Coturnix japonica: one gene and its partners. Each later gene encodes a partner of the first gene's protein in a complex. Links are inferred from orthologs where the notes say so. Each region holds a gene or a part of one and is shown in the gene's direction. Other genes may lie near its edges.

Region 1 (3,500 bases):
GAGCTGATTCTGTCCAAACCATGCATTACTGTAGGACAATTTGTTAACTCTTAATATAATTTGTATGAAACAAGCCTGATTAATGAACGCATCTCGTGTGTTATTTTTCCTGAATGTAGTAGAAGTTGCATGTCAATACGGCTGGATTTCTTTGCCGGATGTGAGGTTTCATGACAAGGAGATTTCAAACGCTCGGCATGTTTTGACAGCAGTCTGTCATGTTATGTTCATGCTGCAGTTACGACGGGTCCCTTCTGAATAACAAACCAAAATGCTTTTTAAACATTATTTTGTGACAACTTGATTAACTTGACAAAACAAAGATTGAACAGAACTTCTTCTGAGTTCTTTAACTCTTCTATTGCAGGATGCTAGGAAAGCGTGTGCAGATGCCACCTTGGCTCAGGTAAGCAGTGAAGAGTTTAACATGAATTACAAAAGGTACATCTGAGTGGATTTTTGGTTTTTTTCGTCTTTTTTTTTAAATTTTATTCAAGGAAAATGTGGTGCTGATGTCCAGTTTCTGAGAGCAGCAACCAACATGGAATGTGCTCACAATGACGATTTTTGTGTCAGGGAAATGCACTTTTCACTGTGCTGATGGCCTTTGAAAAGAAGCAGAGACTCTTGCTCAGATGTTCTTGCTAAATCTGTAACATTGGAGACATGAGAAATATGCAGACAATATCCATAAAACAAACTTGCATACTTTTGGATTTGTTGAGATGTGTGCTTGCTGTATTACTGGAAATGTGTGCTGGCTTGGGTATTTTTTATTAATTGTTTTTGTTTTTAACCAGTACTTCAGGCTGGAGAAATTACTGATGTTAAACTTAGCTGCGTAAGGACAGCTAAACTAATTACTTCCTTATGTTGCTATTTACTTACTCCAGAGACTGCTTTTATCTTCCAAAAGTTAAATAAAACAGGAATAATATGATTATAGTTTTCCAGTATTTGGAATGGAAGTTCATCTGGATCTGAAAGTGAGTTATTCATCTTTCAAAAGCAGAGGTGTGTCTATGGGCTGAGATAGTGCACCCCATGCTCCTGACTGTGGGGGAAAAAACAGATAACGAAATGATGGTTTCTTTAAAGCAAGTACTGCATAAATGAAGTAATTCTTGATGAGACATTTAAAAAAAGAAATTGGTCAATATAAAAATAAGTAGAACTTCTTGATTTGCATTGCAGTGCTTACTGGAATGTTGTTGGGTATGATGGTTTGTGGTTTTTTTCTTCTGTGGTACTATGAAAAATTCAATGGATGGTACAATTCCTATTTCAGATCACAGCCAATATTGACCCGGTGGGGAGAATTCAAATGCGCACCAGGAGGACGCTCCGGGGACACCTGGCCAAAATTTATGCAATGCACTGGGGGACTGATTCCAGGTAGGTTCACTGCTGTGGGAAGTTGGCTGCATCCAGCTGTTATTTACCTGTTCTGCCACAGAAACCCAGTAGTTCAAAAAGAACATAGGCAACAGAGAGAGCTTGGGACAACTTAATGTCCCAAAGTGCTGATGTCCATTCAGTTTTTCTGGACAGCTTAGAACTGTAACTTCTGTTGTAAAAACAGAAAACAAAGCAAGCTGACAGTATAGATCATCAAACTCATTGAATCTTGAAGCCTATATAGATTGCAATGTATAGAACACGATGTGACCGTATTTACCACTTGTTTCCTCTTCAGGCTTCTAGTTAGTGCCTCCCAGGATGGCAAACTTATAATTTGGGACAGCTATACTACAAACAAGGTAAGATTAACTGTTAAATTGATAATTAATACAAAGGAAGGAAGTACTGTCTGTCAGGATTTTGACTGCATTGCTTTGGTTGACATAAGCCTAAAGCTTGATTTCTCCAGTAGGGAATGTAGCAGCGTTTCAAGTGTTTTGTGTATGAAACTGTGCACTGCAGACAGAAGAAGGCAAAGAGGAAGTTAGTGAAATACTAAGTCATTGTTTGCTGTGGGTTTCCAGAGTAGGATATGAATGGTTCTGAGAGGAACAAATTCCTCACTAATTCATTTATAACATAGCATCTGAGCCTAGAACTGGCAGTTCTGCTGACAGTACTTGGAAGTCAATACTTTCCTGAAGCTACTGCAAACTATTAGTGATCAGAGCACTGAAATAATTTGATTTTTATGGAAATTGCTGATTAAACTGAATTCAGGAAAGGCAAACCTGAGGTTTTAATTACATGTTTACTTGATCTGACAAGCTGTGTGTTTTCTTCTTGATGCACCCGTAGAGAGGGGGAGAGATGAAAACCTACTGGTGCTAAATGATTGAATCAGTTGTTCTGCAGGTGAAGTGCTGATTGTATTTATTTCAGGTGCATGCTATTCCCCTGCGTTCGTCTTGGGTCATGACTTGTGCATATGCGCCTTCTGGAAACTATGTGGCTTGTGGTGGTCTTGATAACATCTGTTCCATTTATAACTTGAAAACTCGTGAAGGGAATGTACGTGTCAGCCGTGAACTAGCTGGGCATACAGGTGAGTACATACTCAGAATGGCCTAGGTTATGAGGGCATACAGTGAAGCCAGATCTCCAGTTCTATTCTTTGGCTTTTTGTTTTGCTTTCAGGATACTTGTCATGCTGTCGTTTCTTGGATGATAATCAAATTGTTACCAGCTCTGGCGACACCACTTGGTAAGCAGTAAAATTGTGACATGATTGTTAGTAATGATACACACAGCAAGTCTGTTGAAATAAACTTCATAAAGGTGGTAGTCATCCAGAATATTATACATGATCGATTGTTGCTTCTAAGTTACATTTTTTGCTAGTAATGGAAAACTTGATCTTTCAAGGCTATTACCTTTGGCTGCTCAGTTAAGGCTGTGTTCTCAATTGACCTAATTTTTTGTGATAAAAAGATAATGTTGACTTTTTTTTGGTATAATTTGCCTTTCAGAAATAAGCGATTTTTCTTAAAACACTTTAGTGTTCAATATTAATTTACAGTTTTTTTTACAAAGTCATATTTAGGTGTTTATAAATATGAAAAGCTCCTAGAAAATATTCTGCACTGACAGCAGGTGCAGCTTTTTTCCTTGAGGAGAATGTGGGTGTATGTCTCAATAAAAACTAGCTTCTGGATGAGAGAAGGCCTCAATCTTCTTTTCATTAGTTTTTGTATTATATCTACTGCTTAAAATCAATACAGATCTCCCAGGCAGCAGTTCTTACAGCAAAGGTTGTCTAATAAATAGCTCTCCTACACAGTGTCAGTCTCTTTAAAGGCCCGTTCATTAGTCCACTGATTGTGAGTAACTAATGAATGTAGACGTTTGTTTTTATATCAAGGTGTTCCTAAACATAATTTATAAGACAAAAAGGATCTGTTAAAACAAGGCTCATACAGGACAGTGTAACTGTGCTCAGGAGTTACCGTAGCTACTAGACAGTTGTTTGGATAACGCTTTGTCCACCTCGGATCAGCCAAGCTTTGAGAAGAATGACAAAGGGCAGTGACCTTCTGTTT
Region 2 (3,500 bases), on another chromosome or scaffold:
GCATGTGAGAATAGGAAGCTGAAATAGTAGATTATACTTCATCCAATCCAGCTGCATACCTAGGGACTGATTGCCTCTATCACAGTTTGCACACCAACGCTTTTGTTTGTTATTTAACTACGTGCATCATAACAGCTCCTTCATTTTTACTGAAAAGGCTCTGGGAAAGGCAGCGTGTTTGCCTTCCAACCACCTGCAGGTTCTAAGGTGGAGCAAGGCTTGGCAGCCTGCAGGCTGCTGCTGGATGTGCTTCTGGTTGCAGCACAGGGAAGACTGACCTCTGTGCTCCCTGTGGCGAAACTGATGTTGAAAGAAATCAGTTCCGTGATTTCATGTTATTCCTCTCCCTTCATGTCTCAAGGTGTGATAAGTGTCATTGTATTTAAGACTGTTCGAGATTCATCTCAGCAAATGAGTGAATGGTAGTGGTCATATCCAATGTTCATAATAGGATTTGTTTTCAGAAGTGTTTAAATTGTGGTTCGTTGGTGAACATGTTTGTATGGTAAGTTTTACAGCTTGGCTTTCCAGTATATCAGTTTATCTTTTATAAACTCTTTTATCATTCATTAAACTTCTCCCTAAGTGAGAATATCATCAACCTTTCCTAAAAAGATTTTGGCAACTGTATTTGTGCTTGATGTTTAAAACCTTTCTCAAGTTAAGAATAATAGTACTGAGATAGACAGTTATGGAAGCGCTGGATGTTTTAGATGAACCAAAATCTTCTTGGCAGCACATTCTTAGCTGTCAGCACTAAATAATCAGTGCAAGAAAAGCTTCTTAATTATAGTCATTATTCTAAGATATAGTTAAGATGAACTTTATTTTGCCAGTATATTTCTGGTTAGTCAGTTAGGTGAGTGTGTTGTGATATTAATGTAGTTTGGGTTAGTACTGGCCATCAACAGTTTTTCAATGTTTTAGGCCACATAGTTAGAGAAGAGAGATGTTCAGGGCATCCAAATGAAGATCTAAATACCACAGGAGGGTAAGGGAGGCAGCTGCTCCTAAATCCTGCCTCAGTGCCAAATATAATTGTGTTTCTGTGCATATTCCTGCCATCAGCAGAAATTCTGCTCGCTTGGTGTATATAAATGATGCCAGTGTTTTAGATAAACACGTTGGAGCTCAAAGTGTTGAGCAAAGAGTTTGATCCTGTGGTTTCTAACAGTGTCCATTCGGGAAAAGTGTTTGAGAAGTCATCAGCCTTATTTTGACCTCAGTGGAGGCACTGAGCCGGGCATGGATTCCTAACGATTCAATTTGTGCATTCATGCAATTGTTGGGAGCAATGTTAAATGGGGTTAGAGATCGTTTGATTTAAATTATACAATATCCTCGCTTAGTTCCTCTCAAGTAATGGTGCTTTCTTGTGGGGAATTAGTTGGTAATATATATAATTCAATTCAGGCTGTGGTCTGGCCTTTCTGCTGACCCTGATGAGACAAGTACATCCTTCCAGAAAGAAATCCATGTGCCTGAATATATATATGTATATAATATAAATATATAAAAAAATATATATTTCATTTTTTTATTTTTTGAAGGAAAAGATTAGCTACGAAAGGCCTAATATTTACAGTGATCTGTTGACAAAAAGGCCCAGCATATCAGTTAGGCAATCCTTTTATCAAGCTCCTTCAGTTTAGACATCTGGCTGTTGAAGTACCTCAATACTGCTTTGCTCACAACTGTTCACACAAACTGAATTATAAAGGAAACAAAAGTTTTATTCCTTTGATTCTTTGACAAAGGTATCAGCTGTGCAGGAAATGCTCCTGAGTTCTTTATAAGATCCAGTGTTCAATTCACTGAGCTGAGCATCAGTTGGAGGTTGCTGTATGCCTTTGTCTGTGTGAGGGAGCCTCTGAGCAAAGGCAGAAACAAAAGATTTTAGATCAAAATGGTGATGAAAAAAGATAGCTGGTATTTGAACCTCTCTGTAAGGTAGTCTTTGTTCTGATACTTCAGAATTCCAACCAAAATGATAGTTCCTGTGCTGATTGTAACCTTAGTTTTCAGTGTTCGCCCGTGGCACCAATGCTCTGATGTTTTTATCGTTGGTAACAAGGGGTGGGGGCAGTTGGTCATACAAAAGAAGTTGCCTGTTATACAGTTTGAGTTGAGTAACTGATCAGATATATTTACAACTAAATTGCTGAATTTCATTTAATGTCTAAAACAAACCTGGTTTGAAGTGGTATGTCTATGTCTGAGAACCTGCTTGCTATTCAGATACCATGCTGTGTATTAGCTTGCAATTCCTGCTTGTGCATTCAAATCATTGTGCTTTTTTAGCTGTCTTGTTTCTTTCTTTCTTTCTTTGTTTTGAAAATAGGATGAAACAGGTGCCTATTTAATAGACAGAGACCCGACCTACTTTGGGCCAGTGCTGAACTATCTCAGACATGGGAAGCTGGTTATTAACAAGGACCTAGCTGAGGAAGGTAGGATGTTACTAAATCTCTTGATCTCTCGTCATTTTGTTGTTATTTTTACTGCTTTGAAAGTCAACAAAAATAACTTAAAGGTAGATGATGAATTAACATTGTGCAGCATTTCAATCTGTTGCAGACAAAGCTGATTGGTGTTGTACAATTACAGTATGTTGTTGTTAGAGCTTTTTGAGTGATTCCTGGTGTGTGTCGCAGCTCCCATCCTCAGAAACTCAGCCTAGAAATTCAGCTATGAAGGGAGATGCTTCTTATGACTCTGTGAAATAGTTTTTAGTCTTCTTCAAGCAAATGAATACCAACTGTCAAACGAGTTTTAGAAGATGTAACTTCCTTTACCAACCCTAAGGGAAAATGAATTGTTTTCCATAGCTGTGTAGAAGATGATATTAAGAACTGGTTGGTGGTTTTGACCTGGAGCATTTGGTTACACAGTCTTTTCAAAAAATGTTCTCATTCTAGGTGTACTGGAAGAGGCTGAATTCTACAATATCACATCACTAATAAAACTGGTAAAGGACAAAATAAGAGAAAGAGACAGCAAAATCTCACAGGTAAGGCTGTTTATCAGTGTGCTTTTCATTATTTGTTTGATAGCAAATAATGGGTGATTCTCTTTATTTTTTCCTTTAACTGCGCATTCTCCCAGTAAGATGCTGGGCGTCTGTCCCCCTCATTGACCAAACTGGAGCCATTAGCATCTGTAGACTAATATTTTAAGTCTTTAATAGCTGCTAGTATATTTACAACAGCCAGAGGGTTCTGGTTCTTGTTCAAAAACTAAAAAGCATGTTAAAAAAAATGTCTAGTAGTGGAATAATATAATTAGCAAAATATGCTTGGAAATAGTTATTTGAGAAAAAAACTCAGTTTTTCCATATATATTTACTTACTTCGACTGTGGTGATATTGTCTAAATATGCTGTAGCTGCATGTTTATACAGCATACATACAGATGTTATTTAGCTCTCAAACTTTTTGTAGCAAAGTTACCTTCTACATTTGTGGTATTCTGTAGTTGTAAAGATCTTGCCAAATCATCCT
Region 3 (3,500 bases), on another chromosome or scaffold:
GTTTGAGTGCTTCGACAGTGTCACATCAATACTCTTCCTTGTTTCCTCGAGTGAATTTGACCAAGTGCTTATGGAGGATCGGCAAACGAATCGCCTTACGGAGTCCCTGAACATTTTTGAAACAATAGTCAATAACCGGGTTTTCAGCAACGTCTCCATCATTCTCTTCTTAAATAAGACGGACTTGCTTGAGGAAAAAGTACAAAAAGTGAGCATCAAAGACTATTTTCCACAATTTGAAGGGGATCCCCACTGCTTAGCGGATGTCCAAAAATTCCTGGTGGATTGTTTTCGTACCAAACGCCGGGACCAGCAGCAGAAGCCCCTCTACCACCACTTCACCACTGCTATTAACACAGAGAACATCCGACTAGTTTTCCGTGATGTCAAGGATACCATCCTTCATGACAACCTCAAGCAGCTTATGCTACAGTGATGTGCAAAAAGACGTTTTTATTTGAGTAACTCTTGTGTGTTGTTGTTTGTTTGTTTTTTTAAACTAGAAGTTTACAGCAGGAGTAGAGAAATCCAGGTCCTGTCAGACTTCTTGATACATGGCTAAAAGCTGCTGCTGAACACATTATTGCCAATTTCTGCAGAATTTCAGGCTTAATCTCTCCCAGTGTAGCTTCAAGTTGACTCAAATTGTAATTTTATAGCAGACCTATGTCTAAGTTACCTGTAAAGTGATTCAATTTGACCTTTTAAGAACATGCATATTATCTTAGAAAATCATTCTATATTCAGAATTCTAAGTCCAAACTTCAGTGAAATTGTTGCAGTTGTTGAGCTTTGGCAGTAATTTAGGGGGGCAGACCTTTCACATCAGACTTCGTAATGAAGACTGTGATACTGTAGCTGACTTACAATTTCTCAGGTCTAATATTAGCTAGAAAACCCTTAAATCCCTCGCTGGAATCATGCATCTGAAGCTGGGATTCCTGGGTGTAATGTTCTTCCTGTTAAGCATAAACCTTTGCAGGGGTTTTGACTAGGATGTGCTTTAAAAATCCTTGGATTGGGAACTTCAGATGTCTGGCAGGAAGTACTGGTGCAGGCACGAGTCCAGCGGCGAGGCGTAGTGAATGACACAGTACACTGTTTCACTCTGTTGCATTGTAAGTACTCTGTCTTGGAGCCATGGCAAACATAAGAGCACTATGATGGTCCTTTGAATGTGGGGAGGAGAGCAAGTTAAACTTGTTTATCTTATCTTCACAAACCAGATGTGACATGTAGGTACCTTACCTTTTCTTGAAGCGCTTTAATATATCACTGGTTTATGACTTCCTGCAGTGTGCCTCTTCGTGATCAGTAAGGATTCGGTGACGGATAGAAGTACTTGCAGACCTAAGTGCCTCCGTGTGTTCTGTCCTACAGTATTTTCAGTGGCCTTATGCAAATATGTGTTCCCAGCAGAGGCCTTGTGTAGCTGACACCGTGAAGATGAATGTGTTTGCTGAAAGAAGGACATCACAGCAAAATACACTTCAGCTGATGAGGTTCTTTCTGAGACTTTCCAGTTGGGTCTAGCAATCCTAAGTGTACTTGAGCCAAACATGTTGCATAGCGTACTTTAGATAATATTTTACCATAAGTTCCATTGTAGTTTTTTCTAAAGGGTAAGGGTGAGATATTACTGTTACCATGTGATTACCAAAAAAAAATGCTTCTTGCCTAGAAATCCTCACACACCGAGCAGTGTGCTACCAAGTAAGAGTAAGCTTGCCAACATGTGTTTTTAAGAAGAGTACTGCTGCTCCAAAGCTTTCCCCAGGCTGTAATTCCATTTCAGTCTGTCCAACTTGCCGCTTTGCCCCGTGGAACCTGCACATTCCTGTGGATCGTGATGCTGGCCAATGTTTTCTTAACGTGAATCTTTATCAGCATCCCACATATGTGGCAAGAGGTGTGATGTAATGTGCTCAGCACTTGGAGCAGCGTCTCTGCAGGTGTGATCATGTTGCTGGAACATAGGAAAATTGCCTGTCTCCTGAACTTCAACTTTCCTTACTGTGATTGTAAGTTGTATTAACATCTGTACCTCATTCTCCTGTTCGTAGGTGGAGAATAGTGTATTTTTATTTAGTTAAGTGCTTTGAAAGACCTCTATTTTTATATCATCCGATGAATAGTCATAGATTAGTCTGTGTTTGCTGCAACGAGGCACTATTTTGGGAGGAAGGAATTCTGTAAAGAGCTTGGGAGAAGTCACGGTGTGTTACCAACAAAGTCAGTGCAACACTGTCGAGAGGGTTAATACAATCATTAGATGGGGATATTTAGATTCTGCCTCTGTTGTAGGCGTGGATACGGTTACTTTTATGTCTTCGGTTCATGTGTAAGCAACTCAAGGATGATGAACTGGAGACCTCAGAAGAGGCTGGTTGAGGGTATTTAAAGGGTTGGGCAACATGCTTCTAGTGTCAGCCCAAAAGTTCTCCACTTTCCTCTTGGGAGGATGACGGGTTGATTTGTAAATGCTGTGTGAGCAGACAATAAACCTCTGCCTTTTAGCCTCCAAAGTCCAACAGTAGTTTGAACAAATCCACACCCATGTAGGGAGGGCAATTAACCATTGGAACAAACAGATGGGAGGAGGAGGTGACTTTTTTTTCCATTTCTGACAGTTGTTTGAACAAGTTTATTTTGAAAAGAGACTTGTCTGTGCTGATTAACATATAATTAATTTGGAGAAGGTCTGTAGTAAGTGTTTGGTGGGATGTCAGACTAGATGGCTACAGAAAAGACTGAAGACTGGATATTGGATGATGAGGAATATTACAAGGAATTTGTTTTAAAAAAAGAAAAAAAGATAATAATAATGTAAAGTGTTGATAATTTTCTATGTCAAGGGACTTGTTAATTTACAAAAGATCCTCAAAACTGATGTCAGTCTAAGGATGTGGTCAGTTTCACCAAGGCTCCGGGCACTTCTGACGGGAGCTGAAGTAGGAAAATACTCATCAAGCTTCTCCATGAACCAACATACACATAAAACAAAACACTGTTTTGAATCCTTTCGGAAGACTTTCTCTGTGAATGTTGGGGCCTCTAAGGCAGCAAGGTGCATCCCAGGTGTTGGGGCACTTGTGACAAAGTAGTAGTCCCTGGGAGATAAGCACTATATGAATCTCAGGCAAAAAATGAAATATTTTAATGAAATTACTGAATGAAATCACTTGCGTTTCCCATTCCCACTTCTTTAAAGGGAGGGAGGCAACTAACCTTGATGTAGCTGTTTACATGGTTCCTATGTTAACATACTGGATAAACAAACTGAATCAATATTGGGCTTTTCCATCTTTAAACTTCAGAGCTACCTGAAAAGGAGCAGCACATCACATACTGTTGTATTGCTTTTTAGGTTTTCTTCTAAATATCATTTCTGTTCAGCATTATTTAATTTTGGTACAAGACTGCTGTTGAGGAACAGGCTGGTTCTTATCCTGAAGCAATCACTGTTGGATAGGAAGGCTCAGCTTGGTAGTCTGCGTTCC
Region 4 (4,298 bases), on another chromosome or scaffold:
ACAGCATGCCCACAGCTTACTTCAGACTTTCCAGAGTCAAATCAGATTTCCTTTTCTGGCAATTCACCTGAGATGGCCAGACAGCTATCTATTAAATCTGCTGTGAAAACCAGGCAAAATGTCCTGCATGTCCAAGAAAACAAACAAACAAATGAAAAGGCTCTCAGGCCAACTAACCTGATGCTCTTGAAGAGTTACAGTTGATCCAACAATTACACCTTGTGAAAGTACTCTCAGGTAAAGAAAAACAGACTTGTATAACACTGAAACATGAGTGCCTTCAAATCTCAGAGCTCCCTGCCTGTGGGTGAGTCCTATCACCAAGGGCAGGAGATGCACGGGGCCCAGCAGAGAATTTCAGAATCCTGGTATCCTGAACGTACACCTCCCTTTTGGAGGGTAAAACCAATGGTGAGATCTACCCAGGAACAGCTTAATATCTGCAAGTACTCTAGGCAGTTTCTCTGCTCAGAGCAAACCCATTACAAGAAATAACTTCTTCAAAGCGAAGGGGGAGGTTGGAGAGGAGTTAGTGGGCAATGTATCCAGTGGTCCTTCAAGAAGAGAGCTGGGTGAGAAAGGCAGTGCATGCAGCACTCAGGCAGAAACTGGGGTCACCTTCATAGAGTGCTCCCTTCTTTCCTGTTTGTTCTGCACCTCCGTCCCCTCAGCCTTCATACTATAGATCAGATGAACTCCCTTCCTCTGTTTGCCACTCCAGCAGCCCTGAATATTAGGGAAGAAATCCACAATCCCAGCCCACAAATGCATTCTGGTCCAGAACAAAGGAAATAAACCTGAAGATGTTTAGATCTAGATTACTTCCATGGAACCTAAAAGTTCCCTTAAGCAAAGTAAATACTTTGCAGCCTAATGACTATTAATTAAAAGGGAGTGCTTTACATACATCCAAGGAGAATTAAGTGCTGTTCACAGAATGTGTCTCTTTCTCCTAATTGTTTTGTCATTGTTCTGGGGAAGCAGCATCCCATGAATATTTCAGCACAATAATCAGTTTGAAAAACTAATCTGGATTTGGTACATTTTCCCCACAGTGCACAGAGACTCCGGTGACTGAAATAATCTAAAACCCAGATCTCTTTTTCCTCCCATATATCAAGTGAGACTTAGAGCCATCACAGAATGGCAAAAATAAAATAAAATGAAATAAAATAAAATAAAATAAAATAAAATAAAATAAAATAATAATAAAAACAAATAAAGTGGGGGAGTTTTGAGCTGAAAAAATGGGGAAGAGGTAACAAAAAAAAATCAGTTCAGATGTGCAAATTGTAGATAAAGACTTCTGATGAGGAAGAGGGGAGTGTCTGAAGAAGAAGAGTGTGTTGAAAGATAACAAGAATCAGTAATTTCTATTCAGCAAAGCCACCAAATCAGAGAGCAGTGCTGATCTTATTGGAGGAGAGCCTTCAACAGCAACTAATCCTGTCATATTGAAAGAAAATTGTAAATGTTCTCTGCAGAAATTGCCTGCCCATTGCAGCTAATCGAGCCCACTTGGCGCTCACACACCCACACACAGCACACAGCACCCGGACCCACAGCCGCACAGCCACCAGCACTGTGAGATGCTTACCTGGGCGCCCGGATCCCCTCCTTGCTGCCAACCCTCATGAAGGTGGCAGCTTGTCCTCATTTCCTTAGGAGTACTGTGGGAAATACGAATTATAATCGGCTCATTTATGAGCCCCAGTATCCTCTATTTTTAAATTCTCCAGTTTTGTCTAAACCTTTAAGCCAGGTCTGATAGCTCTATGTATATATGTGTGTATATATGTGTGTGTACATACATATATATGTATTTTAAAGCTGATCTTGGCTGAGCTGGAGCAGACTCCCAAGGGCCAGTGCCACGGAGAGAGTGCGGGGTGTGTGTGTGTGTGTGTGTGTGTGTGTGTGTGTGTGTGTGCCTGCGCATGTGGGAGGGAAAGAGAGAGCGAGGGAGAGACAAAAACTCCATCAACCCGGACAATGCCACCTCTCGTTTAATGCTTTCCAACTGTTATTCTTTCCCCTCATTATCACGGCACCAAGTAATCTGTCTTCTCCCCCCCCCCCCCCCCCCTCCCTCCTCTTGGAAGATATGGAAGAGAAAGATAAAGCGTCTGCCTGCGGGCGCTGATGCGCGCAGCTCGCATGCTCTGCCGCCAGAGCCGGGGCCACTCCGCAGCCGCCGCTCTCAAAGAGCCGCTTGCAGCGGGATGGGATGCAACTTCTGGTGATTGGATCACAGGTAAGAAAGCTTCGCTTTTTCATTGATGTTTCCTCTCTCTCTCTCTCTCTCTCTTTTTTTTTTTTCTTCCCTTCCTCTTCCTTTTTTTTCTTGTTCTTTCAGTCTTTATTTTGGTATTTTTCCCCCCACCCTTTTCTTTCTCGCCTTCTGCCCTCCTCCCCTTTCTCGCCGCACCTACAGTTTCATCTGCTGCCGTCATAGGGAAAGCTCCCGCCAAGAAAATAATGTCCAAGAAACGACCTTACGTTTTGCTTCCTAATAGAAGGAGCAGAGCAAAACATGGGGAAACTTTTGCTGAAAGGGTCTATCGCACTGCGGTCATCGGGGGCTGGGAGCGAGGGGAGAGAAGGCAAAGCCCCAGCAGAGATTTCCTCTGCTGAGTTACAGCTGTGATACTCATCCCGGAACCGAGGCTAAATGGTACAGCCAGGAAGGAGAGACGCGGTAACCCGATTTAGGGAAATCCTCACATTTACCAAGCGCTTCTCAAGTTGGCTTTTCTGTTTGTTTGTCAGTTTTTGTTTTAAATAATGTAAATGTTGAGTTCCAACACAGGGACGTCTCCCGGGCTACCCGTCCCAAATCCCACTGTGACATGTTTGCCGGTGAGTCCTGCAAAATGTCCTCGGGAGCTGGGAGTGGAGCCTGCCCTAGGGGTGAGGAGGGCAGAGACGGAGAGGGCAATAGGAAAAGGAGACTTCTTCCATGCCAGTGCGGTTCCTCAGCACCCCACCTAGGGACCGTGCATGTGTTCAGGGTCAGCGCCCATCCCCGTGGCCTCAGGTCTCAAGGGGGGGATAAGGGGGAGGGGGCTGGAAGGGGGCTGGGGTTCCGCCAGAGGCGAGAAAGGCAGGAGGTTTCCCCAGTTCCGACTTCACTTCTCTGGGTAGGTGCCCCCTGCGGTCCAGTCACAGGTGGATCCGGGGGAGGATGTGAGGATGCTCCAGGGTCGGGCTCAGCGCTACCCGCTACCACGTTCCGACTGATCTGGTGTGTGTGGGGGTAAGCCTCTGCCGGCTGCTCCTCCGGGCTCCCTCTGCTCCGGGTCGCAGACACGGGGTGCCTGCGGCGGGGAGGAGCGAGCCTCGAGAGGGAGCTGCTCTGACAGCGCGAACAAGAATACCTCCCGGACTGCCCCGGGAGCTGTGGTGTCGGTTACCCTCTCAAAGTCCAGCCATTTTCGGAGCTCTGTAGGGCCAAAGTGCTGCCCTACCCCACCAGCGAGTTTCTTTCAAACCCTTCTTCACTCTCGACTGGGAGCTGCTGTTCAGCTGGGGTCTCCGCAGAGCCACCAGGCATGTAGGCTCTTTTTATGTGCCTCGGGGTGATCACTGCACCCCGTCGGTGGAGAATGGACAGGGGACTTTCACCACACTCCAGAAAAGCTCTTTTTATCCATATTCTTTTCAAGCGCTTGCAGTACCTTTATGCAAACTCTTTTTTCTTCAACTGGTACTGGAGGATGGGGACAGGGATATTTCTTGCTGAAAATTCAGCCAGAGAAGTATGTCTCCCCACTTAAGTGTCATCCAGTGTGCTTGCACATTTTTCTTTAGCACTTGAGAAAAAGGGGAGAGGAAATAAAATTGAGGGTGAGTTTTAGCAGTGTTGGGTTTTTGTTGTTATTGTTGATGTTGTTGTTTGTGGGGTTTTTTAAAGAGATTGTCAATGAGGAAGGTTAATAAGGGAGATTAGGAGTAGGCGCTCTGTCTGCTTTTATGGTATTGCATTGCCTGCAATCCTAGCTCTGTCTAAATACGTGCCAGCCTCAATTACATAGTTTATGACACCAGCCGTTTTCAATGACTCGTCTATAAACTGTGTTATGTTGTGCAGAGTATACTCTCTCTCCTTTAGGCTCTTTTTGATTATAACTTTGGTCGAGCTTCCCCTCTGCAGGACCTCTGGATTGCAAAAACAACCCTGTTTGCTCTTGCACCTGGAGAGAGAGAAGTAGTACCACAGGTTTGCCAGCTTGTCAAGCCCACAATCTTCTCTAATACAAAACCAAGATCTTAGGAAATAACTGATCCACTTGTAACTC
Region 5 (4,230 bases), on another chromosome or scaffold:
TGGAGAAACGGGGCGCACCCTCTTCCCCCTACTTTTCCCCAGCTCCTTGCCTTGAAACACTTGTCACTTCCCTGTTAGCACAAAGCTTGAGGCCTCTCCAAGGAGGAGGGAGCAGAGCTGGGACGGGCCCTCTCTCTCGGTGCCACCACCAGCTCGAGCCCTGCTCTAAACCCCCTCACCCAGCCCTTGGATTCCTTTCTTCCCCTGCAGCAGCGAGGGCAGGAGCCCTCCAGCCTGGGCATGGCGGCAAGGTTGGGGATGGGGCTTCCACCCTGGGGCGCTTCCTCAGAGCCCTGTGCACAGGCAGTGGCCGAGGCTCGGCTGGGGGAGCAGCCCCCAGAGCTCAGGGAGGACTCGAATAATCAGCCGCGGGTGAGTGAGCACGGGGGGGGGGGGGGGGGGGGGGGGGGGGGGGGGGGGGGGGGGAGGAAGCTGCTGCATCTCCCTCCCCAGCTGCCTACCACGGCCGAGCGCTGACATTCGTGTGGCAGGGCTGCCTCGCTGCCTTGTCCTCTCATCTCCCACCCTCCCCCCCACCCCATTTTAGCTGCCGTTTTTTCCTTTGCAATGAGCGGTTGGTCCAAAGAACCTCTCTCTTGGGCAGCAGAGAGCTTTTTGCACTTTAAGAAAAAAAAAACAAAAAAACAAAAAAAAAAAAGCAAAAAAAATTAAAAGTAAAAAATCGGAAAAAAAACTCAAGATATGAGGGAAAAAAAAAGAAAAAAAAAAGTTGGCATCTTTTGGGTCGCTCTTTCGTTCCCCTCCCTGCCCGTGCCCGGCTGCTGCTCCTCTCCCCGGTGCATGGCACAGCGCAGCCCCCAGAAGCAATAAGGGAGGAGAGGAGGCTGCGGGCGGGCTGTGAGCAGCGCTGGGGGGGGTTTAGGGAAGGAGGGGGCAGAGCCCCCATCTCTGTCCTGGTGGCTGTTGCTGCGGCGTTTTTCTTTCTTCTTGGGTTCATTTGTTTGAGTTTTGCCACCAGGACAGAAGCGAGGGGAGCGGTGCGGGACCCCCCCCATACAGCCCCTCCATACAGCCCCATAGCCCCGCAGGGACAGCGAGCTCCCAATACACAAAGAGAGAGTTCTGTATATGGGATCGCTCAGTGATTTAAAGCGCCCGCACCGCGCCCGGCTGCCTCCCGCAACAACTCCCCATCGTTTAAAGGTTTCGTTGTGTTTTCGTTCCGTTTCGACCCCCCCCTCCTCCCTTCTCCCCCCTCGGAGACATATTGTAAATATATATTTTTTGTTGGCAATTTAGAGTCCAGCCGATGTTTGTGCTTTCAAATTAAATGTAAGCGTTAAGGGTTCAAGCAAAACCAAGTCGCGTGCGCTCTCTGCGTTGGGGCCGGGGGGTGTTGGGGGCACGGAGGGGCCGTTTGTTCCTGGCTGGTTGTTGGTTGTTGGGTTGTTTGCGGAGCTGGGTTGGACATCTTTGCTCCTCCAGCATTACTGCAACTACTGCCATACTGCAGCTCCGGGCTCAGCCCCGCGCACAGCTCGGGCCCAGCCCAACGCGTTTCCGGCTGCTCCTACTTCCGCTTCCGGGTCGCTGCTGGGGGTCGGGCCGGTGCCGGCCTCGGCCCCGCGCAAGATGGCGGATCTGGAGGCTGTGCTGGCCGACGTGAGCTACCTGATGGCCATGGAGAAAAGCCGGGCCGCACCCGCCGCCCGCGCCTCCAAACGGATCCTACTGCCCGAGCCCAGGTGAGTGCCGTCGGGTCGGGGGCACCGGGCCGGGCCCTGCCTGCCCTGCCGCCCTCGGCCCCGCCGTGCCCCTACGGAGCCCCCGTCCCCAGACACCACCGGGGCGCGTAGGGGCAGTATGGGGCAGTGTGGGCCGAGCTGAGCCCCGGCCGCCCCCCAGCATCCGCAGCGTCATGCAGAAGTACCTCGAGGAAAGGGGCGAATTAACCTTCGACAAGATCTTTGCGCAGAGAATCGGTGAGTGGGGGCTGCGGGCGCCGCCGTGGGGCTGCGGAGGGGCTGGGTGGGGTCCTCCCCCCCCCCCCCCTCGGTCCGCCCTGCCCCGCCCCGCCGCTTCCCCTCGCACTAACTGTCCTGGGCAGGAAGCGCCTCTTGCTTCCTCCCCGCGGCTCTGGTGGTTTCCGGCACCTCCGCCCTCTGGCAGCCCCATAGCCCTCCTCTGGCAGCCCCATAACCCTCCCGGCAGCCCTATAGCCCTGCTCAGCGCCATAGCCCTCCTCTGGCAGCCTAGTAGCCCTCCCGGCAGCCGCATAGCACTCCTCTGGCAGCCACATAGCCCTCCTCTGGCAGCCCCACAGCCCTCCTCTGGCAGCCCCACAGCCCTGCTTAGCTCCATAGCCCTCCTCTGGCAGCCCCACAGCCCTTCTCAGCCTGCTGTGCTCTTGTTGTGTGGCACCACATCGCTCGGCCTGGGTGCCACACTGTGATGCGGTCACCGCTCGCAGCACTGCCTCTACCCCAGGGTACCTGCTGTTCCGGGACTTCGCCCTCAACCAGGCTGAGGAAGCCAAGTCCCTGATGGAGTTCTACGAAGAGGTGTGATGTGGGGCTGGGGATGGGGTACCCTCTGATGCACCTGGGGGAGGTGGTGCCCTGGATGCCTGGAAGCAATGCACTCAGTGCCCAGGGTCCTGATATCCACAGGTGTCCACGAGACACTGTGCACTGTGTGCTCCTTGTGGGGCTGTGCCCTCTTCACCATGCAATCTGTGTCCTTGGCAGATCAAGAAATACGAGAAGCTGGACTCGGAGGAGGAGCGCCTGAGCAGGAGCCGCCAGATCTACGACCATTACATCATGAAGGAGCTGCTGGCCTGCTCCCATGTGAGTGCTGTGCCTCATCGTGCCAAGCCACAGGAGATTCCACCACCGTGTCCACCTCCTCACGGTGATGTGGTGCTGTCCTGCCCTGCAGCCATTCTCCAAGAGTGCTACAGAGCACGTGCAGAGCCTCCTGAGCAAGAAGCAGGTGCCCCCAGACCTCTTCCAGGTAAGTGCTGTCCGTGACGTGGAGGGGATGGTGGCACTGGGGTCACCAGAGACAGCTGGCCTTGGGTGGCAGAAGGTGGTAGTGGAGGTGTGAGATATCCCACCTAGAGGTGGGACCTGCAGGGAATGGGGCGGACCTGGGTGGTACTGGGGATGTAATGCTGACCCCCGTGTTACCCATAGCCCTACATTGAGGAGATCTGCCAGAACCTGCGTGGGAGCATCTTCCAGAAATTCATTGAGAGGTGAGACAGGAGCACTGCCCAGGGAGATCTGTCTCTCAGGGTGCTGCAGGGCTCCTGCTGAGAAGTTCCAGTGCTGTCTGTCCCCACACTGGAGAGTTGGGCCAGTGTCACTCCCAGTTCTGGCCTGGGGTCTCTTTTCCCACATGGGGTCCTCTCCACAATACGGATCTCCTCTGCCCTTCCTTGCGTCTTAGAGGTCTCCCCAGGGGTCCCTCGCTCTCACCCTCTCTGTGCTTCCTTGCAGCGACAAGTTCACGCGGTTCTGCCAGTGGAAGAATGTGGAGCTGAACATCCATGTGAGACCTTGCTCCTCGGGATACAGCCAGGGAGGGAATATGGGTCCTGGTTCTAAGGGAGCTCCAGGAGACTGAGGCAGGGTATGGGACCCCCCCAGGACACACAGGGGGTAGCTACCATCGGGTGATCCCCTCTTTCTGATCCACTTCAGCTCACCATGAATGACTTCAGTGTTCATCGCATCATCGGTCGCGGTGGCTTTGGGGAGGTCTACGGCTGCCGGAAAGCAGACACAGGCAAAATGTAATGGGGCTGGGGAGCTCTGTTCTTGTGGGCAGGGGGGGTGAGCGGTGTTGCCGTGATGGTGGGCATTTAGCGGTGCCAGAGCATTGCTGTGTCTCCACCTTCTGGGGCAATACATCATGGTAGTTGGGGGAAGGAGCTGTCTGACCACAGATGTCAAAGAGTGGGCGTGGTGGGTCCAGGTAGCAGCAGGACCCCACAGGGACTCTCTGCCCCCAGGTATGCCATGAAGTGCTTGGACAAGAAGCGCATCAAGATGAAGCAGGGTGAGACGCTGGCCCTCAACGAGCGCATCATGTTGTCCCTTGTCAGCACAGGGGTGAGGGGATTAAGGGCACAGGGTGATGCGGGGTGCTGAGGCACAGCTGGCTTGGCATGACATCTTCTCCCTGGCCAGGACTGCCCGTTCATCGTGTGCATGTCTTATGCTTTCCACACACCCGACAAGCTCAGCTTCATCCTTGACCTAA
Region 6 (4,185 bases), on another chromosome or scaffold:
ACAAAATTCTTAGTCATTTGCTTTCAACCTGGAGTTAACTGATAATTCAACATGCTGTTTGGACACTCTGGCCCATGTTTCTTGATTACTATCAAGACATTAAGCGCACTGTGAGGAAAACACATTATTTCATAAACCATTTAAAATACTGCAGCTGTATCTAGAACAATACTGTCCATTATACTGTCATATCATCTTGAAAAAATAGAAAGTTCAGCTTCTTAAGATAGCCACATACATCTGAATTTTTCAGTAAAACACTCTTCTAAAGAATTGTTATAAGAAGGGTTAAATCATAAGTGCAAGTCTAAGTAAGTGCCTACAAAACAATTTTAATGATCCTTATATAACACAGTGTCCACCTAGCTATGTAGCCTATTTTGGCAGTGCTTTTAGGTTTTTGTTGTTCTTGTTGTTAGCATGGCTGTGTTGCACACAAAGAATTATTTACCTTGTAATGTTGCTGTCTGAGCTTGTACTCCCAATATGCTGACTACCCATCTTGTTTGTTCAGCCGTGGGGACCTGAGCATTCTGTCATCTCACAAACAAAAATTAGCAGAGAGCTCAGAGGACAGAAGAGAGGCATTGTTTCCCTCTGGCAAAACACTGGTGCACTGTGCTCAGCAGGTAAAGCAGATGGACCCGATGTGCACGTTCCTGAAATGCCCTTTGGATCATAGTGAGCCCAGAAACTCGGAATAGGAGCTGCAGGAGACCTCTGCAATTCTGGCAGACAAAGCATTAATTCCAGAGATACTCTTTGTTATATTTAAGAAAGGAAAAGAGGCCCCCACGAAGTGTGCCTTGCCAACAGGTACCATGCAGCCTTTTGCTGCTGATTTGGAGTTTGCATCCTCCTTCAAGTAAATAGGGGAGGAAAACGTTGAACTTAGCATGGAATTCACTCATCGGTAAGGCTACTGGATCATGGGGAAATTAGCAGTTTAGCTCAGTAAAACTGTTAATTCAGATTAATAAAAAGCAACCTCCTGGTAAGATTTTGGCAATATGCAGAGAGAGAAGTGAAACAGCTCTTGTTAGTAACAAGTCACGTCTGATCAGCGCACAGCACCTGACCTCTTCTTCCCCGCTCGCGCCAGCACCTCTCGAGGCTGACAATTACAACTTCAATTTCTCCTCGCAAAGCTCCCACCATCTCCCAGCACACCGCGCTCTCGACCACGGCCATTGCCCCCACGTAGGCGGTCGTCCCCTCCCTCCCCTCTCAGGGGGCAGCTCCAGGGGCTCCCCCGAGGCAGTCCCGCGGCCGCGGGGGGCGGGCAGCTTCACTCCGCCCCGGCCCGCCCCTCCACCCCCCCTCCGCGTCTCGGCAGCATCGTTAAAACTAAGGGAGGCGCGGTGCGGGGCGGCCGGCGGGGCCTGGAGGCTCCGCGGGACATGGGGCAGAAGCGGCGGAGCCCCGGCGCGGCGGAGCGGGGCTGCGCTGCCGAGGGGACGACGGGTGGCAGCGGCCGCGGTCGGCTGGCGGAGTCCTGGCGGCGGCTGAGCTCCCGGCGCGGCTCCGCCAAGCGCAGCGGAACCTCCGCGCCCGCGCCGCCGGTGAGTGCCCGAGACCGGGATGGAGCCCGGACCGGAATCGAGATGAGAATACGGGGCCCCTAGTGAAACAGGTGGTGGGGATGAGGGCGGTGTCGAGAAACCTGTTGCGTTTTCGGAGGAAAATCACACTTTGCGCGCGGTTAATCTGACTTTGTAGTTGTAACAAGTGAAAGTCTCCTCTGTTGCCTTTTCCCATTCTCTCTCTCTTTTTATTTTATTTTTTTTTCTTTTTTCCTTTTTTTTTTTTTTTCTTTATTTTTTTCTGTGGAAGCTGCTTGCTAAGAGCAGGACGGAGCGCGGCTCCCACTATCGCACGGTGTGCTCCGGCCAGAGAGCTGCGAAGTAGGGGCTAGGAACTACCCTCCTGTTGAGGCAAAGGACTAGAGGGAGGTAGACAGCGCTCTCGGTTGGGAGTCAGAGGTTTCTTCTTGGGAAAGTGTCTTCTTTGGTGGAGTTTTGCCTTCCGTGGGATATTCTGACAGTCTTTGAGGTGGATGGACAGACATCTTGACAGAGATGCATGCACAGCACAGATTACATGCTAAGAAAATGAACATGTTGGGAAGAAGTACATTGAAACTGATAGAACAAATTGAGCATTCAAGTAGAAAAAAAGAGTGGTACTTGTTAAAGTGCTTTAAGGTTGCTTTCTTAATCTTGGGATCAGGACCCTCATGCTAGGTACTGGACACATGTATACAGACAGAGATTTTGAATGAGCTGCTTACTGTTCAAGTACGTCAGTCTTTGTGTGTTCAGAAGCAGTGCTGTGAGTCTAACTGAAGCCTGACTGAGGTGCAGAACGATACACCGTATTTAATAGCTGAAACGTGTCATTTCAGACAGAAATACAAATTTATAAAGCTGTGGAGCTGCAAGGAAGATGCCCACAGGTTGAGTGCCAGTTGGGAAAATAGCATAAGGGTAAAGAGACCGACAGTAGAAAGGATGCCATGGCAACGGAAAGCATCAGAGAAAGTAACAGTATTCTCTTATGGAGTGGGGAGAGGAGGAGAGATGCGTTCATCTGTACCACCCTGCAGATCTTAATACTATAACTGAGGTTTTAGTGTTTATTTTTTCTTCTTCAGAATACACTAACTTCTTTTTACATTATATACCTTGAAGATTTATTCCGAGAGTCTATCACCAAAACTTAGCAGAAAAAAAATGCTCAGTGCAATCAGTGCAGTTTAGGCTTTATTTATTTATTTATTTATTAAGGTTCTTAAAGTTCTTATGTTTCCGTTGCTCGAAACAAAGTAGTTCTTGTTGCTTACAACAGAGATGAACTCTTACTCCAGACTGAACCTTGAATGATATCCAGGTTCAGAAAGTGCTTGGCAAGAGTAGAAAAGCTGTACTAATCTTTGTTTAATCATTACATTTTCATAGATGAGTAACTTACTTCTGATGTCTTGTCTACAGTAATATTAAGGTGATGTATTTACCCTACTGGATTTGCAATGCACTTAAACTTCAAAATTTGGTATATCAGGGGACAGCTGGGAGGAGCTTGATTCTGTTTGTTTGTGTGTTTCTTTTGGTTGTTTTTTTTTTCTTTTTTTTCTTTCTCTAGCCCCTCACTCCTGATTGTGTTTTTCCTTCAGTAACTTCTATTTTATGTTATTTGAAATTGGTCACTGGGCTGTGGAGGACTTTTGAGGGTCAATATTAAAGTGATAGGCTGTCATTAGTAACACTGTGTATGACTATACAGAATGTTTTTGTACAGCTGAACGCACTTTGCTGCATACGCAGAGTGGCAAATGGGTTCGTGCCTAATCTTGTCTTAATAGCATTGTTCTGGGGTCTCAGGTGGTTTCTGTGCCTCTTTAATTACAAAGGGTTGGTCTTGTTCACTGTTATTGATCATCTGGAAACTGGCCAGGAGATGTGCACTTGCCTTCTCTGAATTCATAAGCAGACTGGTGTGACAGCCTTTTGTAATGTGTCTTATGGGAGGCTGGTACTTTGCACAGGTAGTTTGGGATATGTGAAAGATGATGTCAGCATCCTCTTAAAAGGTAAGAATATGATTTCTTTAAAGGAGTCTCTGGTGTTGAACTCATGTGACAAACATACTGCTTTAGAAAGGTTTATTTAAGCAAAAATGCAGATGTGTTTCATTCTGAATACATGGCACCTGAATGCCTTGCAAAACCATTTAGATAGGCATGATTTTCCTGAAAGAAAAAGAAAATTCCACATTTTGAAGAGCTAATTTCCAACCTATAAAAATTTGATTTAGATTTTCTGTCAAATGCGGAAGATTTAAAGATTTAAAGCCCATTGTGGCTCATACTGAGAGTTAGCTTTGTTGTTTTTCTGCATCCCTTAAATTGGACAGTGTCTGCCAGTATCTGTGTTTTCCAATCCACCCTTACCTGTGATGATTGTAAAAATTACTGATTCTTGTATTTCACACTCAATAAAAAAGTGACAAGTCATACCCCTAAAAGTTGTCCTTTATTTTGTACTCCAATTGTTAATTCCTTATGAATGAATTTGCAGTCTTCTTTACCAACTTGTTGGTTTTGGTTTGTTTGTTTTAATATCTTGAGTGAAGAAGGAGTTGTCTTATTGAAAGAAACTGTGTAAGGGAGGGGTGTTTGAGTCAGAA
Region 7 (3,500 bases), on another chromosome or scaffold:
AGCTCTTTCTCAAAGGAAGTTTATTTTAGGTGTTCTGAAAGAGATCTTGGAGAGCGCAGTGAGAGGCTGAAACAGGCTCTAGAGGGACACTGCAACATCCCTGTTCTCAAATGTACAGAGAAATGTCTGCAGGCTCATCTCTGAGGAAGAGAAACCATGGCTGCTTCCTGAATAGGCTTTCTGATATCTTTGAGGATACCACTCAGTTTTCAAACACATCTATAGCTGAAGTACACATCCAAAATCTAAATAAATTCAGCGAAATGGTCTTTGCAAAATCACGGAACCACAAAATGGCTGGGATTGGAAGGGACCTTAAAGATCATCAACCTCCTGTCAGGACAGATGAAATGTAAAGTTCTTTGTTGTGTATTTTTTGGTTTGAATTGGTTTACTTCTCTTTGCCCAGAGAACATTACCCTACCGTGCCGTAGATCTAATGTGTTTTGTGAACTGCAGGAATAGCTAATGTCAATAAGAATGATAATGGATATTTCTGAGAAATATACCTGTAAGGAAGTGGTTCTACAACATGAAATACTAATTAGCTCCTGCTAAATTTTAAGTTTCCATTTTTATCTTTACAAAGTCATCTCCCATGTAAATGAGCAACTTACCTTTCCTGGTGTTATACCTTAACTTTTGAAAGACTACTTTGAAGGAAGAGTTGCTATTTTATTGGCAGTTGTCCACTTGTGTCTAGGTCCTTACTGTAACAGGACATGGGACGGCTGGTTGTGCTGGAGCGATGTTGCCGCAGGAACTGTATCGGTACAGCATTGTCCCGACTACTTCCAAGATTTCAATCCATCAGGTAAGTGTGTATGTGGGCTTTCTACATAAGGATACTGCTAAAAGAAATGATCTTTTGTGTGCTTGATGCCTACTCTTTGCTTTACTCAAGTCAGTAATGCATCTGAATTTCAGCAACTCCACATCCATTATTTGCACTTAGCTTGTATTACAGGAAAGTTCTAAGGTTTTTTACTTTTCTGAAAGTAGCCATGGTAGAATTCTATAGATTAGGAAATACAAATTTAATTTAGATGACCATTCTTTGCTATTGGTGATGAGAATTACCTTCTGAGAGGAAAGCAGATATGTAATTTATTTACTTTTTTAACCTTAGTTTGGCAGCTGAAGTTAACAAGTGTTTCTCCCACAAGCGAGTCTTTTCCAGTAAGCTGAACTTGGCAACTGTGTGAGCATGTGGAAAATGTCACAGACTGCCACTCTTGTCTGCTTCTGCCGCATTTGCTATTTCCCGTGGTCTTTTGGTGGCCATTTAGTATGTGACTTAACCATTATGCAGTCCTGGAAATTCTCCAGTCTGGTTCTAGAGCAGTTTCTCTATTGATGTTTTCTTGCCTGTTCAATTTACAGTGGTAGAATGTTAGACTTCTGTTTATATCTTGGATGTTAAAGTGGCCATTTAAATATCCTCATCACTTCATCTGGTAGTTCTCTAACAGTTGGATATATTTTGATAGCAATTTGTGGAAGAGGAATGTATGTGTTTTCTTAAGAAAAAACACACATAAACGGTTGCCCATGCCAAGCAAAAGCAACGGCCTCGGGTTTCTCAGAACTCCAAGTAACAGTCAACGTCTCTCTAGTCATACTAATAAAGCTGTCATTCATTTGCCAATCTTTTTTGTGAAACACGAGGATCAGGAAGTAGAGCTTCGCTGCTGACTGTTGTGTTTTTGCCTTGTTTTTTCTGTTTTTCTTTTCCACTACTCTGACTGCCTGTAGAAAAAGTTACAAAGATCTGCGATTCAAGCGGGAACTGGTTTAGACACCCAGAAAGCAACAGGACGTGGACGAACTACACCCAGTGTAATATCTATACGCGTGAAAAAGTGAAGGTAGGAAAGGAATAAATGCACATCACCGGTCTCAAAAAATGATCTGTGAAACATTAAAAACGCACAGATAGTGTCTCATCTAATAACATTTCTTTAAAGTTTTACATATAATTTGTTTATATGATTTCACAAGTCAATTTATGTATCCATTCAAACATTTAATTTGAGTAATAGGTTCAGAGGCCATGTACCATGTGGAGTACGTGAGCCTGTGCATGCAGGCTATTATACTTTCTTATGCAATCTGGACAACTATGCTTTATCGTGGTCATGTAGGGTTCAACCTAAAGATGTTCATTTTTTTCTGCGTAAAATGATTTTTGTAATAAAAAACAAAAACAAAAAAGGTCTATTTATGAGGCAGACTCCATAATTGAAAGCAGAATGTTGTTATTGGTAGAAATTAAGTTATTAATTCAAATAAGTGATGATAACATCTTGTATATATGACTAACATTACTTCACCCGTTCTTCATTATTTTGCTCTCTACCTAGCTTTTCATAATACTATAGTTTGGCTGCAGGTTTATTTGTTAGTTCCACTTAGTCTTTGCTATTTTGGAGCCATTGTTCATTTTATTTGTATCCTTCAAACGAAAGCTCGATTCTAGGAAAGTATCCTTATAAGAGACAAAATTATAGGAGCAAAAAGTACATACCTTCATATGTGTAGAAGATTGATTTATTTTCTTTAAGAGACACACGATAGACAAATCTAACCTCAGATGGGAGTGCACTAAGCACAGTTGCAAAAATGACCTGATTTTGTATAACTACTCAGAGAAAACATAGTGTATATTTAAAAACCTATTGTCTTAACATCTAAGAGAATTTTTGTGTTTTAAATGAATCTGGTTTTACCCATCAGAGATGTTAGTAAGATAGCAATTTGCAGGATTCTCAATTGACTCATTGTTTTCAGTCAAGTTTTTGTGTTCTTAATCCTCATTACAGTTATTTTGTGGGTAGATGAAGAAGTATGTTCATTCTTAATAATTCTGTATCACATGCTATTGGTTTTATTCTTCTATTGCAGACTGCTCTGAATTTATATTATTTGGCCATCATAGGACACGGTCTTTCAATCGCCTCACTTCTGATTTCTCTTGGCATATTCTTTTACTTTAAGTAAGTATATTTAAAATTCTTTCCCAAATATTGTTGTTTGCAGCAACGCTAGTTCCAATGCTTTAGAAACACGGGCCTTTCAAATAAATTGGATGGAGCAACAAGGTGAAAAACAAAAAACTCTATATGGGTTTGGCATTGAATATGCTTTTACAATAAAATCTTAGGTTTCTGTCATCAGAAACCTAGCATTCCCGATCTGCAAATTAAAAATTGTAGCAGATGTTGGAAATGTGGAAAATGGCAGATAGAAAACACAACCAACTACTAAACAAGCATGTTTTAGGAGGTGGAGGAGTGTTGCTTGCTTGCTTGCTTGTTTGTTTGTTTTTAGTAATATCTTAAGGTGTGGATATGTCAAGAGTGGGTCATGCTGAAGATTAAACGAAAACTAAAGTACTGATGGTATGTAAGTCACATACATTTTATAGACATGTGGCATATAAATCACATTACGAAGGATAGAGCCACATAATGTAGTAGTGAGGAAAATAAAGCAAAGAG

What was found.
Region 2: the proteins of GNB1 (region 1) and KCTD5 are in contact, whole or in part, in a cryo-EM structure (PDB 8U7Z), measured with the Homo sapiens proteins. The link is inferred for Coturnix japonica from reciprocal best matches to the Homo sapiens genes GNB1 and KCTD5. Residues at the interface, in NP_001269468.1 of Homo sapiens: Arg52, Gly53, Leu55, Lys57, Tyr59, Gln75, Asp76, Gly77, Lys78, Thr87, Asn88, Lys89, Val90, Ala92, Pro94, Leu95, Arg96, Ser97, Ser98, Trp99, Met101, Leu117, Gly131, Asn132, Val133, Arg134, Val135, Thr143, Tyr145, Gly162; in NP_061865.1 of Homo sapiens: Val157, Arg159, Val160, Leu161, Gln162, Cys163, Gln164, Glu166, Glu167, Gln170, Met171, Thr174, Met175, Ser176, Asp177, Trp179, Ser190, Tyr191, Val205, Lys207, Leu209, Glu219, Ser221, Lys223, Ala224, Leu227, Gln228, Arg230, Gly231, Ser232.
Region 3: the proteins of GNB1 (region 1) and GNA13 are in contact, whole or in part, in a cryo-EM structure (PDB 8H8J), measured with the Homo sapiens proteins. The link is inferred for Coturnix japonica from reciprocal best matches to the Homo sapiens genes GNB1 and GNA13. Residues at the interface, in NP_001269468.1 of Homo sapiens: Gly53, Leu55, Lys57, Tyr59, Gln75, Asp76, Lys78, Ile80, Thr87, Asn88, Lys89, Val90, His91, Ala92, Ser98, Trp99, Met101, Leu117, Asp118, Asn119, Tyr145, Asp186, Met188, Asp228, Arg314, Trp332; in NP_006563.2 of Homo sapiens: Ser31, Ile34, Asp35, Leu38, Glu41, Lys42, Val45, Lys50, Gly205, Ile206, Glu208, Lys219, Val221, Lys231, Arg232, Trp233, Phe234, Glu235, Cys236, Phe237, Asp238, Ser239, Val240, Arg279.
Region 4: the proteins of GNB1 (region 1) and CHRM2 are in contact, whole or in part, in a cryo-EM structure (PDB 7T96), measured with the Homo sapiens proteins. The link is inferred for Coturnix japonica from reciprocal best matches to the Homo sapiens genes GNB1 and CHRM2. Residues at the interface, in NP_001269468.1 of Homo sapiens: His54, Leu55, Asp312, Asp333, Ser334, Phe335; in NP_000730.1 of Homo sapiens: Val50, Asn51, Arg52, His453.
Region 5: the proteins of GNB1 (region 1) and GRK2 are in contact, whole or in part, in a crystal structure (PDB 5UKL), measured with the Homo sapiens proteins. The link is inferred for Coturnix japonica from reciprocal best matches to the Homo sapiens genes GNB1 and GRK2. Residues at the interface, in NP_001269468.1 of Homo sapiens: Leu55, Ala56, Lys57, Tyr59, Ala60, Gln75, Asp76, Gly77, Lys78, Pro94, Leu95, Arg96, Ser97, Ser98, Trp99, Val100, Met101, Leu117, Tyr145, Ser147, Asp186, Met188, Cys204, Asp228, Asn230, Asp246, Ile270, Cys271, Asp290, Phe292; in NP_001610.2 of Homo sapiens: Tyr553, Gly556, Lys557, Asp558, Phe584, Pro585, Asn586, Arg587, Glu589, Pro597, Gln598, Leu600, Thr602, Glu604, Ala654, Leu657, Val658, Val661, Pro662, Lys663, Met664, Lys665, Asn666, Lys667, Arg669, Pro671.
Region 6: the proteins of GNB1 (region 1) and TRPM3 are in contact, whole or in part, in a crystal structure (PDB 6RMV), measured with the Mus musculus proteins. The link is inferred for Coturnix japonica from reciprocal best matches to the Homo sapiens genes GNB1 and TRPM3. Residues at the interface, in NP_001153488.1 of Mus musculus: Lys57, Tyr59, Trp99, Val100, Met101, Leu117, Tyr145, Gly162, Asp186, Met188, Cys204, Asp228, Asn230, Asp246, Arg314, Trp332; in NP_001349418.1 of Mus musculus: Lys615, Arg616, Lys618, Ala619, Lys621, Leu622, Leu623, Gly624, Met625.
Region 7: the proteins of GNB1 (region 1) and CALCRL are in contact, whole or in part, in a cryo-EM structure (PDB 6UVA), measured with the Homo sapiens proteins. The link is inferred for Coturnix japonica from reciprocal best matches to the Homo sapiens genes GNB1 and CALCRL. Residues at the interface, in NP_001269468.1 of Homo sapiens: Arg52, Phe292, Ala309, His311, Asp312; in NP_001258680.1 of Homo sapiens: Lys167, Ser168, Ile394, Arg397, Asn398, Gln401.

The regions. Positions count from the first base shown.
Region 1 is NC_029536.1:1,650,839-1,654,338, forward strand, and holds part of GNB1 (guanine nucleotide-binding protein G(I)/G(S)/G(T) subunit beta-1), read left to right. Parts: intron 1-367; coding exon 368-406; intron 407-1,288; coding exon 1,289-1,395; intron 1,396-1,696; coding exon 1,697-1,760; intron 1,761-2,343; coding exon 2,344-2,506; intron 2,507-2,598; coding exon 2,599-2,665; intron 2,666-3,500. UniProt on the Homo sapiens protein: Guanine nucleotide-binding proteins (G proteins) are involved as a modulator or transducer in various transmembrane signaling systems.
Region 2 is NC_029529.1:7,254,001-7,257,500, forward strand, and holds part of KCTD5 (BTB/POZ domain-containing protein KCTD5), read left to right. Parts: intron 1-2,341; coding exon 2,342-2,450; intron 2,451-2,918; coding exon 2,919-3,010; intron 3,011-3,500. UniProt on the Homo sapiens protein: Its interaction with CUL3 suggests that it may act as a substrate adapter in some E3 ligase complex. Does not affect the function of Kv channel Kv2.1/KCNB1, Kv1.2/KCNA2, Kv4.2/KCND2 and Kv3.4/KCNC4.
Region 3 is NC_029533.1:6,470,051-6,473,550, reverse strand, and holds part of GNA13 (guanine nucleotide-binding protein subunit alpha-13), read left to right. Parts: coding exon 1-436; 3' UTR 437-3,500. UniProt on the Homo sapiens protein: Guanine nucleotide-binding proteins (G proteins) are involved as modulators or transducers in various transmembrane signaling systems.
Region 4 is NC_029516.1:54,483,444-54,487,741, forward strand, and holds the start of CHRM2 (muscarinic acetylcholine receptor M2), read left to right. Parts: upstream 1-1,498; 5' UTR 1,499-1,639; exon of another isoform or gene 1,640-2,087; intron 2,088-2,102; 5' UTR 2,103-2,254; intron 2,255-4,298. UniProt on the Homo sapiens protein: The muscarinic acetylcholine receptor mediates various cellular responses, including inhibition of adenylate cyclase, breakdown of phosphoinositides and modulation of potassium channels through the action of G proteins.
Region 5 is NC_029520.1:139,340-143,569, forward strand, and holds the start of GRK2 (beta-adrenergic receptor kinase 1), read left to right. Parts: upstream 1-1,430; 5' UTR 1,431-1,593; coding exon 1,594-1,706; intron 1,707-1,866; coding exon 1,867-1,943; intron 1,944-2,448; coding exon 2,449-2,522; intron 2,523-2,708; coding exon 2,709-2,810; intron 2,811-2,901; coding exon 2,902-2,976; intron 2,977-3,158; coding exon 3,159-3,220; intron 3,221-3,464; coding exon 3,465-3,516; intron 3,517-3,668; coding exon 3,669-3,760; intron 3,761-3,979; coding exon 3,980-4,079; intron 4,080-4,157; coding exon 4,158-4,230. UniProt on the Homo sapiens protein: Specifically phosphorylates the agonist-occupied form of the beta-adrenergic and closely related receptors, probably inducing a desensitization of them. Key regulator of LPAR1 signaling.
Region 6 is NC_029547.1:31,831,328-31,835,512, reverse strand, and holds the start of TRPM3 (transient receptor potential cation channel subfamily M member 3), read left to right. Parts: upstream 1-1,385; 5' UTR 1,386-1,400; coding exon 1,401-1,562; intron 1,563-4,185. UniProt on the Homo sapiens protein: Constitutively active, non-selective divalent cation-conducting channel that is permeable to Ca(2+), Mn(2+), and Mg(2+), with a high permeability for Ca(2+).
Region 7 is NC_029522.1:5,173,646-5,177,145, forward strand, and holds part of CALCRL (calcitonin gene-related peptide type 1 receptor), read left to right. Parts: intron 1-703; coding exon 704-814; intron 815-1,755; coding exon 1,756-1,868; intron 1,869-2,904; coding exon 2,905-2,996; intron 2,997-3,500. UniProt on the Homo sapiens protein: G protein-coupled receptor which specificity is determined by its interaction with receptor-activity-modifying proteins (RAMPs). Together with RAMP1, form the receptor complex for calcitonin-gene-related peptides CALCA/CGRP1 and CALCB/CGRP2.